Alligator mississippiensis: one gene and its partner. The protein of the gene in region 1 purifies or fractionates together with the protein of each later gene. This does not show direct contact. Links are inferred from orthologs where the notes say so. Each region holds a gene or a part of one and is shown in the gene's direction. Other genes may lie near its edges.

Region 1 (7,201 bases):
GCAGGTGGGACCACAGCTGGGCCTGAGCCTGGTGAGGCTTGGGCCAAGGGGGCAGCTGGCGGCCCTGTGAGGCCAGGAGTGCCCAGGGGACTCACCCCAGGTCCACCAGACATAGACGAACTTGCTGCGGCCACCCCAGGCGCTGCGGGGAAAGGGCTGCCCGTCGGGGAAGGTGCCAGCCGTGCCCTCAGGCAGCATCTCCGGGAATACGGCATCACCCTGGCGCACCCAGGTCCCTGCCAGAGCGAGGGGGGGTTAGTGCCGCACAGCGGGGGGGACCTACCCATTCTCTGGAACCGGGCACCATGCAGCAGCCAGTCCGGGACGGGTGCCAGGCAGGGGCTCTCCCTCACCATTGACAGTGCAGTTGCGGCTCCACACGACACGGCCATCGGGTAGCACCGTCTGGTTGCTGGGGAAGCGCAGGGCGATGGCAAATGTGGCCTTGGCGCCCGTCATGGTGGGGGCATCGTTGGTGACCTCAAAGGTCACGTCACCGCCTGCGGGCAGAGGGTCAGGCCCGGGGGGCACGTGGGAGGTTGCCCCCTCCCATTACCCCCGCCCCAGGCCAGCTCCATGCTGCTGCAACCTCCACCCCCAGCCCATGACCCACAGCCCCGGCTCCCCCAGGGCACCCCATTACCAACCTGCAGCTGCCCCTGCCCTGGTTCCCCCACCCCTCCATCCTTGCCCCTGGGGCTCAGCCCAGGTCGGGCTTGGCAGGTCCCATCCCAGGACTCACCTCTCCAGCAGTCCCGCTGCCGGGCGTCCCCCCTTGGCCCCCAGGGGTAGAGCTGGCTGTTCCAGGACCTGTAGCCCAGGGGCTGGCGGCTGCCCCGGTCGCTGCCTCGGTTCCTACCGCCAGGCCCTGTAGAGACGCAGAGTGGGTGGGGGGCAGCAGGCAGGGGCAGGGGCAGAAGCCCCCGCCATCACCAGAGGCAGCTCTGACCCCCAGAGGCAGGAGCACGGAGCCAGGATGCCTGGGGTCTTCATTCATGGGAGTCAAGTGGGTAGAAACCCACGGGGCAAGCAGGGCTGGGGCTGCTGTCCCCAGCCATGGGCCTGGCTGCCATGTGGGCCCAGGCCCCCACCCCTGGAGGCTGGAGCTGGGGTTGCTGCCGAGGCATTAGCATTAGCACCACATCCGCCCGCCGCCCCATCATGTCCCTCCCATGGCCCCGGGCCCAGCCCCGCACGTTGGGGAGCATGTGATGGGGGAGGAGGGGGGCGCCAGGCAAAGCCCCATCACATGGCTCCAGATCCTGCCCAAGCCCTTTCATGTGACTCTCAGCTGAGCCGGTGCCGACTCCTACCCCAGACCACGATTAGGGGATGGGGGGGGCGTGGGAGAAGGCCGCCCCCCTCTGGAGGCCTGTGTGCAGTGCGGCGCGTGGGGAATGGGCCCTGGCCCAGTATCCGGAGGGGGCTGGAAGCAGGGATACCTGGGTTCTCCCTTCAGCCTCCCTCACCACTGACCCCCAGGTGACTGCCCCCACATAGTCCTGTTGTGCCTCAGTTTCCCTGTCTACGTCGGGGTCCGGCAGCCAAGGCACTGGGGGTTCTAGGAAAGGGGGCAAGTCCCTGGCTCTACCCCTGCTGGGCACGGGGCCCAGCTGCGCCCCCCCCCCGACACAGGTGAGAACTGAGGGGCAGTCGGGGGGGTGCCTGGGGGGTCCAGGGGGAACCTGGAGGAGAGAGGTCCCCCAAGGGCAGCTTGGCCTGGGGCAGGGGCTGCAGCACTGCCAGGGTGGCCAGCTCCCCTCCCTCCTCCCCCCGTGGGCATCAGCCCCTGGGAGCAGGGCCACCCCGAGCTCTTAGCAGGGACACGCACAGGCATGCATGCACGCCTGCCCGCCCTCCCCCTGCGTCACCCACTCGGTCCCGGCGCCGGGCCCCTGCAGGGATTAGCAGAGTCTGGAATCTGGCGCCCACGTGGCTCGGCTTTGGGGGGCACCCCGTTAATCCGTCTGTCCCAGTCCCAAGGGGGCTGAGGCTGGGTCTATCCCTTGTGGGGAGCACTGGGAGGCGGCACCATCCTGGGCACCCCCAGGTCTGTCTGTCCCTCCAGCCTGTGCAGCCCTGACACCAGCTCCCTGCCCCATTGCAGACCCTGCAGAGACCCCCCCCAGCACACACATGCACATGCAGAGCCTGGGCAGAGCACAGGAGTGGAGCTTTCCCCCATCCCAGCCCTGGTGCCCAGAGCGAGGTGCGGAGGGGCCAGACCCCACAACGGGCGAGACAGAACCCCCCACCCCCAGCTCCCCAGGGAGCCCCTGGGCTTGGATCCCACTCACCACGCTGAGCTGTGGCCGCCCCCAGGAGGGCCCAGACTGCCAGGAAGCACCCGCTCGTCCACATCCCGGCCAGACCCTCGCACCCACGGGAGACCCTCGTTGCAGAGGCGAAGCCTCCCGGTCTCCCCAGCTAAGAAGGGGCCCTGATTTGCATAGCCCCGCCCCTCCATGGGCATCACCTTCCAGATGCCCCCAAATGGGGGGGTGAGGTCGAGTCACAAGTTTGGGTTGCTACGACGATGGGGGTTTTCCCTCCTACGCAGAAGCAGGAATTTGGGGGGGGGCATGGCGCTTCCTCTCCTCGTGAGCAGGAGTGACAGCCTCAGGGGCACCCGGGCACCAGCTGACACTTGAGCCTTTGCCCCCAGCGGCCGCCTCCCTGATCCAGGCCATGAAGGACAGAGGTGCCCGCTGCCCTGTCCCTGCTCAGCTCCTCAGTTGGAGACACGGGGACCCGGATGATGGCTGCTCCAGGAGCCATTGGAGTCGGAGCCGTGGCCAGCTCAGACCCATGACTGTATCTTCAGCACACACCTCCGTCCTGGGTCCTGGGCCCAGGTGCCCCCCGCTGCGTGGCTGGGCTGTGCCTGCTCTGGCATGGGGTCATGGGCTGCACCTGGGCTGAGGTGGGGGTTCCCCGACCAGAGGACCTGCCTCGAAGCTCGGCCCAGGGAGCCTAAGACTGATCTGGGCCTGGAGTGAAAGGGATGGGACTGGTTACATCCCCGGGGACCTGGGTTAGAGGGCCTGGACTGGACTGGACTGGACCTGACTGGGGGGAGGTGGGGGAGTAACACTGCTGCTTGGGGGGGGGGGGATTCTGGGTGCAGAGCTGGCACCAGGCACAGACACCTCATTGCAGGGACGACACCAGCCCAGGTGTTGGCAGGAAGTGGCAGCCGGTTGGCAGCTGCTTTGCCACCTCTGCCAGGCCCCTGCATGTTTGCACGCACACATACACACACGCACCCACACACACACATGCCCACATGCAGACACACGTGCAGACACCCGCGCACACACGTGCAGACACCCGCACACACATGCACACCGACAGCACATCCCAATTCCAGCTCTGGCGTAAAGGCCCCAGCCCCGTTCTGGGCCCACCTGAGCTCTTGGCCCCAGTGGGTGCCTGACACCCTTGGCCCCGTGTTGGGATGGGGTCAGGGGCCTCACTCCTAACCCCGGATGCTTGATGAGGTGGGTCCCTGGAAGGGCAGGGGCCAGGCAGGGGGCTGCTCCACGATGCCCGACCCCAACTGGAGCAAAGCCTCGGCCAGGTCCCGGCCCAGGCGCTTTGCGTGCTCCCTTGCCCCCCATGCTGCACATCCAGCTTGTCCGCACACGCAATCCCAAGAGGGGCCAGATGGAGCAGGGGCCTCGGCTTTGTGGGCCGGACCCCCGGGGTCTCCCTCTGCCAAGGCAGCAGGGCCTAATGGCTGGAGCAGAGGAGGCCTGGGGCTCGTCCTGTGACGGTGGCCTCAGTCTTTCCAACTTGCAATGGGTCTGTTGGCCTGGCCTAGCCCGGGGCACTGGTGGTCTGAGCTCCAGGCTCTATAGGGGTGTCGGGGAGACCCCTGCCCACAATACACCCCAGAAGACGGCGGGAGGCTGACCGTCCCGGGAGATCCGGGAAGCAAACACCGGGAGCCGGGCTCATCCGGGAGCGCCTGGCCCTTTAAGGACTCTCCCGCGTCGCTCCTAGCATCACCGGCCGCGCCAGCCAACTGCGCGGCGGGGTGGGCGGGGCGAGAGGAGCGCCAGCCAATGGCGCGGCGGCGAGGGCGGGGCCGGCGGAACGCGGGAAGCGGCCGCGCGGGGAGGCGGAAAGTGGCAACATTGTTGCGGGTCCCGGGGCGAAGGTTCCATCCGGCCGCGCGCCGCCAACCGCAGCGGCCCCGAGCCCGGCTCTGGCTCCCCGCGCGGCCGCTCCCCCGGCCCCGGGCCCGGGCCGCCCCATGGAGAACTTCCAGAAGGTGGAGAAGATCGGCGAGGGCACGTACGGCGTCGTGTACAAGGCCAAGAACAAGGTCACGGGCGAGGTGGTGGCGCTCAAGAAGATCCGCCTGGACACGTGAGCGCGGGGGCGGCTGGTCCCGGGGGGCAGGATCCGGCCCGGGCCGAGGTGCGGGGCAGGCCCCGCGGGGCCCTGCCTGCCTGCGAGCCCAGGGGCGTCTCTGGTGCGGGGCTGCCCCCTTGAGGCCCGTGGGTGGGCCTGGTGGCTGGGGGGGGCGGCCCACCCCCCGGGCTCCCCAGAGCTGGGGCTGGTGCAGTCTGCGGGCGCGGGGCGCAAGAAGCCCCCGTCCATCATCGCCCCTCTGCTCGCCTGGTGGCTTCGTTCCCACACGTTGGCATGTGAGGGGCTCAGCCGGGTCGGGGGGCCGAGGAGACTCACGTGCCCCGGGGTCCTGCTCCTCCCCTCCCCCCTCGCAGGGAGACGGAGGGCGTCCCCAGCACGGCCATCCGGGAGATCTCGCTGCTCAAGGAGCTGAACCACCCCAACATCGTCAAGTAAGTGGGGACGGGGTGGGGGGGGCACTGCAGCCCCTGGGAGCAAGCTCTGTGCAGGCGTCTCACCCCTCTCCCCCCCGCCCAGGCTGCTGGACGTGATCCACACGGAGAACAAGCTCTACCTGGTCTTCGAGTTCCTCCACCAGGACCTGAAGAAGTTCATGGACTCGGCCTCCCTCAGCGGCATGGCACTGCCCCTCATCAAGGTACTGCACCTGCCCGGGCCACTTGCAGCCCTGTGCCTGGTCCCCGTGCCCGTAACCAGCCTCGTCTCCTTCCCCGCAGAGCTACCTGTTCCAGCTGCTGCAGGGCCTGGCCTTCTGCCACTCCCACCGCGTGCTGCACCGCGACCTCAAGCCCCAGAACCTGCTCATCAATGCTGATGGCGCCATCAAGTTGGCCGACTTTGGGCTGGCGCGGGCATTCGGCGTGCCTGTCCGCACCTACACCCATGAGGTGAGGGGACCTGCCCACCCAGCAGCACTCTGGGGTATGCAGGGGCTCTCCCACATGGGCCTTGGCAGGGAGCTCCGGCCTGGGCCAAACACAGTGGCCTCCCCTGTGCTCAGCCCCACTAGTTGAGGCTCTAGCTGGAGGGGGTGACATGCTAGGTCACATGGCTGGACTCCTGGATTCTCTTTGCAGCTACCCCAGAAACCCACTATCTGCTCAAAGCACACTGTCCCACATGTGCCTCAGTTTCCCTTCTGTCCACTGGGGACAGGTGACATGTGCTGCTCCTATGGAGGTGGGGAGGGTGACTTCTCACTTGTTTGGGGCATTAGCCCCTCTGCTGGGCATGACAGTGCCCCTGTCCTGCCCCTCCCCGACCCTCCCAGGTGGTGACTCTCTGGTACCGGGCCCCTGAAATCCTGTTGGGCTGCAAGTACTACTCGACGGCTGTGGACATCTGGAGCTTGGGCTGCATCTTTGCTGAGATGGTGCGTGGCCGTTGTGGGGGGTGCGGGGGTCCCACTCCGTGGCAGGCAAGAATGGCGGGAGGGAAGATGAGCCTTAATATGAGCAGGGCAGGGCAGCTCCCAGTGCAAGCTGGCTCGGAGCCAAGTCCCTGGCGCGGCCCCCATGCCCCCCTTCCCTCCCCCCCAGCTGGAGCTGCAGAGCTAGGCCCCGGGGCTGTGCTGGGCCAGCAGAGACGTCACAACCGGCCACGCAAAGGGCTGCTGACGCCCAGCAGGGCCCAGGGAAGAAAGGGACCTTGTGGACTGGGGTGGGGTGCAGGCCGCAGCGTGCCAGCCTGGTATTTCCTCCTCCCCAGGGCAGGGGGTGTCCTGGGACCGGGTGCTGGCAGAGAGGGTCACATGGAATGGGGTCCATGTCACATTGCGAGGGGGGGAGATGCTTCCCATGGGATTCGGCTCCATCTGGGCACAGCCTTTCTGGGACCTGGTGTTATCCTCGGCAGCCAGGCCCCCCCCACCCGGCCAGTCCCAGTTCAGCCCCCCGCGAGCCTGCCACCCTAACCCCTGCGCAGAGCCCAGTGTCCGGTGCTCAGCAGATTTCCTCCAGGGAAGGCATTGAGTCTAAGTGGCTCGTCAAGCACCTAGACCTCCTACCTGGCCCCCAGGTGCCCCCCATGGTTTTCTTCTGCCCCTCCCAGATCACCCGCCGAGCCCTGTTCCCTGGTGACTCCGAGATCGACCAACTGTTCCGCATCTTCCGCACGCTGGGCACCCCGGATGAGGCTGTGTGGCCTGGAGTCACCTCCATGCCTGACTACAAGCCCAGCTTCCCCAAGTGGGCCCGGCAGGACTTCAGCAAGGTGGTGCCCCCGCTGGACGAGGAGGGCAGGAAGCTCTTGGCTGTGAGTAGTCCGCTACTGGGCCCAAGGTTCGAGGCTCTGGGAGAGCAGGGTCAGAGCTGGTGCCTGGCTTGCCCAGAAGGAAACTAACTTTCTAGTCCCCTCTGTGCTGGGAGCAAACAGGCAGGAGGAACAGCAGGAGAAACCGGGGCTGGGGGAGCTCACGTGCCAGCTCTGGCTCTTAGCATTTTGGGGTGGTGGAGAAGGAGAGTGCAACCCAGCTGGGCTCCCTCGGTTGCCTGGCCTAACCCGCCTCCCCCCTCTCTTCCCCAGCAAATGCTGCACTACGACCCCAACAAGCGCATCTCGGCCAAGTCAGCGCTGGGCCACCCCTTCTTCCGGGATGTCACCAAAGCCGTGCCACACCTGCGCCTGTGAGGCCGCCCCGGGGCAGGGAGCCAATGCCCAGCCTCACCGGAGCCTTTCTCCCTGCCCCTTGCTGCCCAGCTCTGAACTGACTGTGGGGCCCAGAGGGGCCGGGGCCTGACCAGCTCCCACCCTGGGTGCAGGTCCTTGCCCTCGGCGTGGATCAGGCTCTGATGCTGGCAGCAGGGCTCCTCTCCTGTCGCCT
Region 2 (7,417 bases), on another chromosome or scaffold:
GAATGGGTGCAAGTCAGACATGGAGGGAGCTCTGGGTTCTGCTATACATAACAAAATAAATCACATCTCTTGGCTTTTACACTATAGTACCAGACTTGATATAACTTGAAGCTCTCAAAGCCCTTTGTGTGCAGTAGATAAACACCACAAAATCTCTAAAGTAGGTGAGTGTCATAGCCTATATCCAGATAGAAACCAGGCACAAGGAACTTAAGTTTGGCAATCAGACTTGCTCTGTGGCCTTTTGTCTAACTATATCTACAGCACAGCTGGAACTAGAATGCAAGCATCCTTACCACTAAGTCCATTCATAACACGCTAGAAGCCGTGCCCATTCTTAATTTAACAAGAAAACCCCTGGGATCCTGACTCCCAGGTCTCTCTATCCTTTGTTTTATATTTAAGCTTATTCCTTTTAGCAATCAGGGTCAGTAAGTTAGTGGCTGGTAAGTAAAAGGGCTGCACATCTCAGTGGAAAGCTCTATCTGCATAACTGGTATACCCAACTTCCATGCAGCACACATGCTAAATATCCCGTTTTCATTTGCTTCAGCAGTTCCCCTCATGATTAGGTGGGTCACTTTCCACCAAAAGTGTAGAATATTTGTGACAAGCTGCAAGTTGATGATGCAACACTGAGACACAAAGCCCAGAAGATTCTGCCTCTTGATGCCACGGATCCCTCTTTCCCCCCTTCCTACGGCTACTAGCCGAGTGAACTACCGGCCCTTGAAAAAACTCCGGGCCCCATGCCCAACAAAGAGCTGGTAGCAGTGGAGGATCCAAAACTAAACCAAACCCTTCCTGTGCCAAAGCTGAGCTCAGTGTAAACAGTACAATTTCAGTTTTAGAAACAACACTGTTTGAAACCCCACAGTAAGTGCATCCTTAATAGTCTCTCTTTATGCCCTTATTCGTTTTCAAAACTGGAGGTGAAAACACGATGTTTGCAACTCAGGAGCATGACTTCAATTTTATTTTTTTTTTTAAGGTTTCTCAAATAGAGAAGACATTGAATTTTACAGAGTAAAACAATAACTCTATAAAATAGGAAATGAGAATCTTGAACTATTCTATAACAGCAGGAAACTAAATACCTGGTTGCTCATGTAATGCTATCTATTTAGCTAATTTCAAGTGAATTATTTGCTAGAAAAAGACAGCTAGGATCACTCAAATCCTATTTATTCCAAGGGTAGCAGTCACAATTCAAGCTTCCCTAATCAAATGTTAAATTGTGATCTGAAGGGAAGAGTAAAATAATGCTGACCTTTTACAGTCAGAACTTCTTTTGCAAGCTACCTTAAGGGGAGGTTTTCATTTCAGTAACATTCATGTGGTTTCGCATTTACACAATCCCATGAGCACTGTAAAGGGCAACAGCACAGCTAGTGCACTACCTTAGCAAAAGAAGCACCACAAAATGAAACACACCTTCCTGTTTCCATTGTCAAAGATGAGCTAAATGAAAACTAAGGCAGAAAAGCCAGATTAAGAATTTTCCAGTTTTAGTTTTAAAACTAACAGAACAATTTATTTTAAAAAAATGAAACCAAGTGCATTCTTTTTGGTTTCTCTTTACAAATTCAGTGTCCTTTTGAAAGCAGCCTCCCCTGCTGTGAAATATAACAGGCATACTGTACTAGAATTAATATTATTGGCTATGCTATGGCTGGGAGACAAAGTAAGTAAAGGAAGACTCACAAGGATGTCTGAACAGGGGACATCCCTGATAAAATTCAAGAAGACCTCCTGCTAGTGGCTTAAGGTATCAGCACAGGTTTCACTGAATTGCTGTCTTGTATATTGATGGTATGCCCACAGTATGCTACAGACACTTTGCAGACACCAGAAGACAACACAATGCTAGCCTCCAAGAGTTCCTAATCCTAGACCCCGACCCTGTGCGGTTTTAAGGAATACATTATTATTAGGAGAGATACTGGCCAACTCAGCAGTTCAGACAGTTACATTCCACTCCAACTTCAGCCTTCAGGATGTTCTTTGCTGCCTATTCTATACCATGTTCTGTTGAATACAAAATTCAGTCAGTGGCAGCAGGTCAGCGATGGAATATGAAGGAGAGGGGTTTGCTTCAACATTTTGTTTGAGGGCAGTGGGGCTGATGTAATTCTTGGCCCTGTGCATTGTGTTTGTTCAAATTATTTTAGGATATTCAGTTAACCCCAACTTGTATGGAGAGCATTTTGGATGCATTACTTAAATGCTAACTAAAGGAATCCTGTTGTATGTAAAAATGCATCGGATGAGATCAGGGGTTTGGGTCTGATGAGATCAGACTTTAAGAAACAGCCCTTTGGCCTTCTGTGTCCCACATAGCTAAGACAACTCTGCTTGCTGAGAGTATGCATACCAGTTGAGCAATACCAATGCTCCCAAGGAAGCATTCCAACTCCCACAAAAGTACCAGGATACAACAGGGCTATTGGTTGTAGCTGTACTGGTCTAAGGACATAGGCAGACAAGGTTCTTTAGGTAAATGCAATATCTTTTATTAGACTATAGTTGGAAAAATTGTTCTTTGCAAGCTTTCAGGTACAAACATCCTTCTTCAGGCACAGGAAGAGTTAAGTCACCTTGCTACAGTGCAAAAATGCAGTGCAAACAGTCAATTATCAAGAGGGTGATAGTTTCCATCCACTCTTGTTTAATATAGAAAAGCAAAGCTAAACCAAGTCGGTAAATTTAAACACCGTAAAGCTTTACAAGTTACCAGGCAGTCAGGCATTTTACATCTTCATCAAAAGTTAAGCTTCCAGCAATCCCATTTTCTAGAGTCATTTCTTCCAGCTCTATAATTGTATAGCAACCAAGAAAGTAATTAGACCCAAGGATGATGCTTTATTTTACAGTTTGCGCTAGCTGCTAAAAAAGGATGTCTTAAGTAATTTTAAATGCAAAGATTTCGGCTGAGAAAAAAAACAAAAGAATTTCAAGTGATCACTTGATGTTTACTTGACACAGAAAGCTTTTCACCTTTTCAAGGTTACGTGGTTGAAGCACTCCACTGCTGTCTTGGAATTAGAACCAGAACTTTGTTCTAACATAAATGCAAGCCAAATGGTAGCTGACAAGGCCAAGGTAAGAGCATGAAACAGCCAAGAGTAATTACAATTTCCCCCTCAGCTTGATTCCTGAGGCCCATAGGGTTGTGAATGGCAAAGAACCCCAAAGACTTTTTCAAAATAGGACTTTTACCTTGAAAGTCCATGCTTTTAGTTGCTCACATCTTCCAAGGGGCACCCTTTAAGAGGGTGAGAGTGCAAATGACTTAGTGAAGGACAGCCAACCTTTTAGCTCTATTTCTCCAAGCATCTGGATTGGGCTTTGGCAGAAGCACGTACAGTAATAGCGTACAGTGAAAGAACAGCTCTCTCACCCCATCTTAACAATGGTTTAGGCCTCAAGTCCCATGAGACTCCAGAAGCACCAGGCTGGGCCAATCCCATGGCAACTCAGTACCCGCTCTTAGACGTGGCGTCTTGCAGCCAAAGAGAGTGGAAATGCCTTGCTAAACAGTTAGTGTTTTACTTCACAGGAATTAATGAGTTGAGGAGAGATGAATTTGGCTACAGCCTGGTTCCCTAAAACATCTTCATCTTGGTCTTGGAAATTAAGGGTGTGATGCTACCAGCATTTATGCATACAGAAGTCAACATGCAAGCTCTCCCTAGCCAGCTGGCCCCTAGGGTGCAGCTGACAACCCATTTGGCACATTACTAGTGGTGCCCTGGCAGTGGATCCCTCTGGGCTCTGGGAGCTACGCCCGGGGAGCAAACGCTTACATGGCCCAGCTCAGGCAGGGATGCACTGAGGCTGTGCCTCCCACGCCCCAGCCACCCGAGCTGTACCGACATACAAACCCAGATGAACTGCACTGCACTGCACTGCACTGCACTGCACTGCACTGCACTGCACCGCTGCCCCGCCCCGCTGCAACCCCCGCGCTCCGCAAGGTCGGGCCGAGCAGCCCTCACTACACCTGCGGGCAGGCGGGAGGCGCCAGGCCCCGCCCCGGTACCTTGTCGTCGGGCTCCCGGCCCAGGCGCTGCCGCAGCTCGCTCATGCTGAGCCCCGCTGCGAACCTCAGCAGCAGCGCGTGCGCCCAGGCCCCAGCGTTCCATCCGCCTGGCGCCGCCGCAGCCAATGGGAGCAGCGCGAGCCGGGAAGGAGGCGAGGCCACTCGCCTCGCCCCGCCCTGCCCCTCCTGACCCGGATGTAGGAACTCTTCTCTTCCTCCTCCTCCTCCCCGGCCTGTGGTGGCTGCCATGATAGGCGTACGCCGATGGCGGTTGTACATGAGCCATCCCCCAGACGCCGTGAAGCTCCCTGTAGCAGCCCCTGGGCACGGCACTCTTGCTTTGGGAGCATCCCAGAGGCAGGGCCGAGCAGCCGACCCTCGCAGCCTTGTGAAACAACGCGGGTTGTAAGGCCGGCCTCGATTGGTGGGAGGAAACGCGCTGCTTGTTACCTGCGTGGGGATTGGCGGTTGCAGAGCACGTGGGCGGGATTCTGTCCAGAATCCCAAGTAGGCGGAACTACCGGTGACTCCCAGGCTCTGATTGGCCGGAAGGAGGAGCTTTCATTTTTCGCGCACGATCCCGCTGGTGGGCACGGATCGGTAGATTGGCGGCAAGGAGGCGGGGCTTCAGGTTGCTGCGATTGGTGGAGAAGCCGGGGAGGCGGGACCCGGACGTGAGGTCAGAGGCGCTATAAAGAGAGCCGTTGGCGCGCCCCGAGAAGCAGCAGTCTAGTAGCTTTTTCTCGTCACCATGTTCGAGGCGCGGCTGGTGCAGGGTTCGGTGTTGAAGCGCGTGCTAGAGGCGCTTAAAGACCTCATCACTGAGGCCTGCTGGGACCTGGGCTCGGGCGGCATCAGCTTGCAGAGCATGGACTCCTCGCACGTCTCACTGGTGCAGCTCACGCTGCGCTCCGAGGGCTTCGACACCTACCGCTGCGACCGTAACATCGCTATGGGCGTCAACCTGACCAGGTGCCACGGGGGCGGTTGTGGGGGCTTGGAGCGCAACGCTTGTCCCGTTTGTGCCGCGCGCGTGCGCGGTGACGTCACGCCGGCGCCCCGCGCTCAGGGTTTTCCCGCGCGCAGTGGCGGGAAAGAACCCCTGCGGGGGGAGGAGTTTCGGCAGCTCTGCCTGGTGGGAAGGGGAAGGGTGGATGTGGCCCCTGCAGTGCATTGCTCCTCTGGCCTGGAAACGGCTTGCAGGGCTTGGGGGGAGGAAGAGTGGATGTGGTGGGTCAGGATGCCTTGCCTGGGCTGGTCTAACTAGTCTAGCCCTTGCTGCAGCATGTCCAAAATTCTGAAGTGTGCTGGCAACGAAGACATCATCACGCTGCGAGCAGAAGACAATGCAGACACCCTGGCCCTGGTGTTCGAGGCCCCAAGTAAGTACCTGTACTTCACAGAAGTTTAGGACTGGAAGAGACCTCATGAGATCATTGGGTCCAGCCCCTGGACAAGAAACACTACTGGGTTCAAACAACCCCTGCAGGGTGTGCATCTAGTCTCCTTTACCCCTGTGTTCTCACAAGGTCCCTTCCAGCCCTAAACTTTTGTGAAGATCTCTAGGTTGTGTCTGCACCACCTCCGCTGGGAATCAGTTCCAGAGTCTGGTCACATGAGCAGCAAAGAAGTCAGATGAGTCCTCACAGGTATGGTGCCTCAAGCCATGTTGGAGCTGCAGGGGTCTGAGAATGAGGTGATAGGCAGGGATTTTGTAAGGTCATCTCTTGGGCCAACTGTACAGCTGGGATGCAGGAGGCCTGATAAATGTCTTGCTTCCAAAAGTTTGTCTAGCTCTTATCCTGTGCTGTTTATCTAATCAAAGAGATCACCCTATGAAATCCTTGCCTCAGCAAAGGTAGGAAACACTTAAAAGCTCACATGCGCATAAAAATAAACACCCCCTCAAAAAAAAAAAAAGTGTCAGTTTTTGAACTTGCAGCACTACTTGAAGACTAAAATGAGTGCCTCTTATTAAGTTAATAGGCAGATGAGGCTGGAAGTGAACACTTGAATCATTGAGTCACAACCAGGGTCCCGCAGTGTGTTGAAGTGCTGCCAGATATTTTGGAGGTATGCAGATATAATTAGATAATTGGAGGCTCAGGCTTGTCTCTGTCTGGCTGGTTCCTCTCCATCTTCACTGATTGGTTCTCCTGAAAGCAGCTGAGCACTGTAGTATACAGATGAGCCTTTGAAATTGTACAAAATAAAGTGGCATCCAAAGTCAAGGCCCTTCGCCATGATGGGGTGGTGTGAGAACCACTCATCTGGTTTATGCTAGTACCTAGTTCAAAAGCTTTGTGTGATGTGTATACTTTTTTTATTTATTTATTTATTTATTTATTTATTTATTTATTTATTTTTTTTAGCTGAGTACAGTAGATGACGATCATCTAAATGACCAGAAGCTTTTATGGATACTTGTGTAGTTGCACCAAGAAATGTCTTGTGTCCTGTGACTTGGGGTGGGGTGGCATGCTCATAGCTGTTTGATAGGGCACCCAAGGGGAAAACTAGGAGTCATGGGCACAAACTCCTGGAAGATTGATTCAGGCTCAACATTAGGAAAAACTTCAGTTGAGGTGTCCAGCCTGGAATAAGCTCCTTCCAGAGATGGTGCAATTGCCTACCCTGGAAATCTCCAAGAGGAGACTAGACAGTCACCTTGCTGGGGTCACCTGACCCTCGGTTATCTTTCCTGCTTGGTGCATGGGGCTGGACCTGATGATCTTCCAAGGTCCCTTCCAGCCTTACAATCTATGAATATCACTTTTTTTCTTTTCTGTGTAAAAGTTTAAGAGGATCTAACTGCAAAACACAGGTTTAACTTTGCTTCACCAAACACACAGATGTATTTTGATGTTTTTCTCCTAGATCAAGAAAAGGTCTCCGATTATGAGATGAAACTAATGGATTTGGATGTGGAACAGCTTGGCATCCCAGTAAGCCATTTTGTTTTGTCTGAGCTAAATTTAATTGCTAATACTCATAAGTGAGAGTAAAATGTTAATGTTGAAGGCTTCTAAAATTTTCTGTGTTCCCAGTTCCTCACCTCAGTGGGATAGTTTTAAGATGGCCCATGGGAAGCATTAGGAATAGCCTAGAGTTTTTGAAGTGGTGATCACTGTGGATAGTGGTTGACTTGGCTCTTCAGTTCTCAAATGCATGATCAGGAGGACAGTGCGTTTTGTAACCTACCTTTTTAAGCACTTCCTTTTACAAAGAGAGGTGCACTAATTGACCCCTGTTGGCTATGCCCACTGAAGGTAAAGCTCACAAGTGATTATTCATAGTTTTGAGGTGGTTCAAAAGGGAGTAGGCTCCCCAGTGCTTTCTGGAAGTACTTGAGTAAAGTTCGGTATTCAGATTTGC

What was found. Proteins that work in one complex are often made in the same cells at the same time.
Region 2: the proteins of CDK2 (region 1) and PCNA purify together in Homo sapiens (affinity purification with mass spectrometry; 8 studies listed by BioGRID and IntAct, counting the BioPlex papers as one, with this or other methods). This does not show direct contact. The link is inferred for Alligator mississippiensis from reciprocal best matches to the Homo sapiens genes CDK2 and PCNA.

The regions. Positions count from the first base shown.
Region 1 is NC_081838.1:6,926,974-6,934,174, forward strand, and holds the start of CDK2 (cyclin-dependent kinase 2), read left to right. Parts: upstream 1-4,105; 5' UTR 4,106-4,258; coding exon 4,259-4,374; intron 4,375-4,733; coding exon 4,734-4,811; intron 4,812-4,896; coding exon 4,897-5,017; intron 5,018-5,096; coding exon 5,097-5,267; intron 5,268-5,650; coding exon 5,651-5,752; intron 5,753-6,429; coding exon 6,430-6,633; intron 6,634-6,903; coding exon 6,904-7,008; 3' UTR 7,009-7,201. Other genes in the region: melanocyte protein PMEL, read right to left, coding at 96-236, 354-500, 743-868, 2,298-2,361. UniProt on the Homo sapiens protein: Serine/threonine-protein kinase involved in the control of the cell cycle; essential for meiosis, but dispensable for mitosis. Phosphorylates CABLES1, CTNNB1, CDK2AP2, ERCC6, NBN, USP37, p53/TP53, NPM1, CDK7, RB1, BRCA2, MYC, NPAT, EZH2.
Region 2 is NC_081830.1:25,946,516-25,953,932, reverse strand, and holds the start of PCNA (proliferating cell nuclear antigen), read left to right. Parts: upstream 1-4,317; 5' UTR 4,318-4,793; coding exon 4,794-5,014; intron 5,015-5,326; coding exon 5,327-5,424; intron 5,425-6,919; coding exon 6,920-6,987; intron 6,988-7,417. Other genes in the region: CDS2 (phosphatidate cytidylyltransferase 2), read right to left, coding at 4,004-4,087. UniProt on the Homo sapiens protein: Auxiliary protein of DNA polymerase delta and epsilon, is involved in the control of eukaryotic DNA replication by increasing the polymerase's processibility during elongation of the leading strand.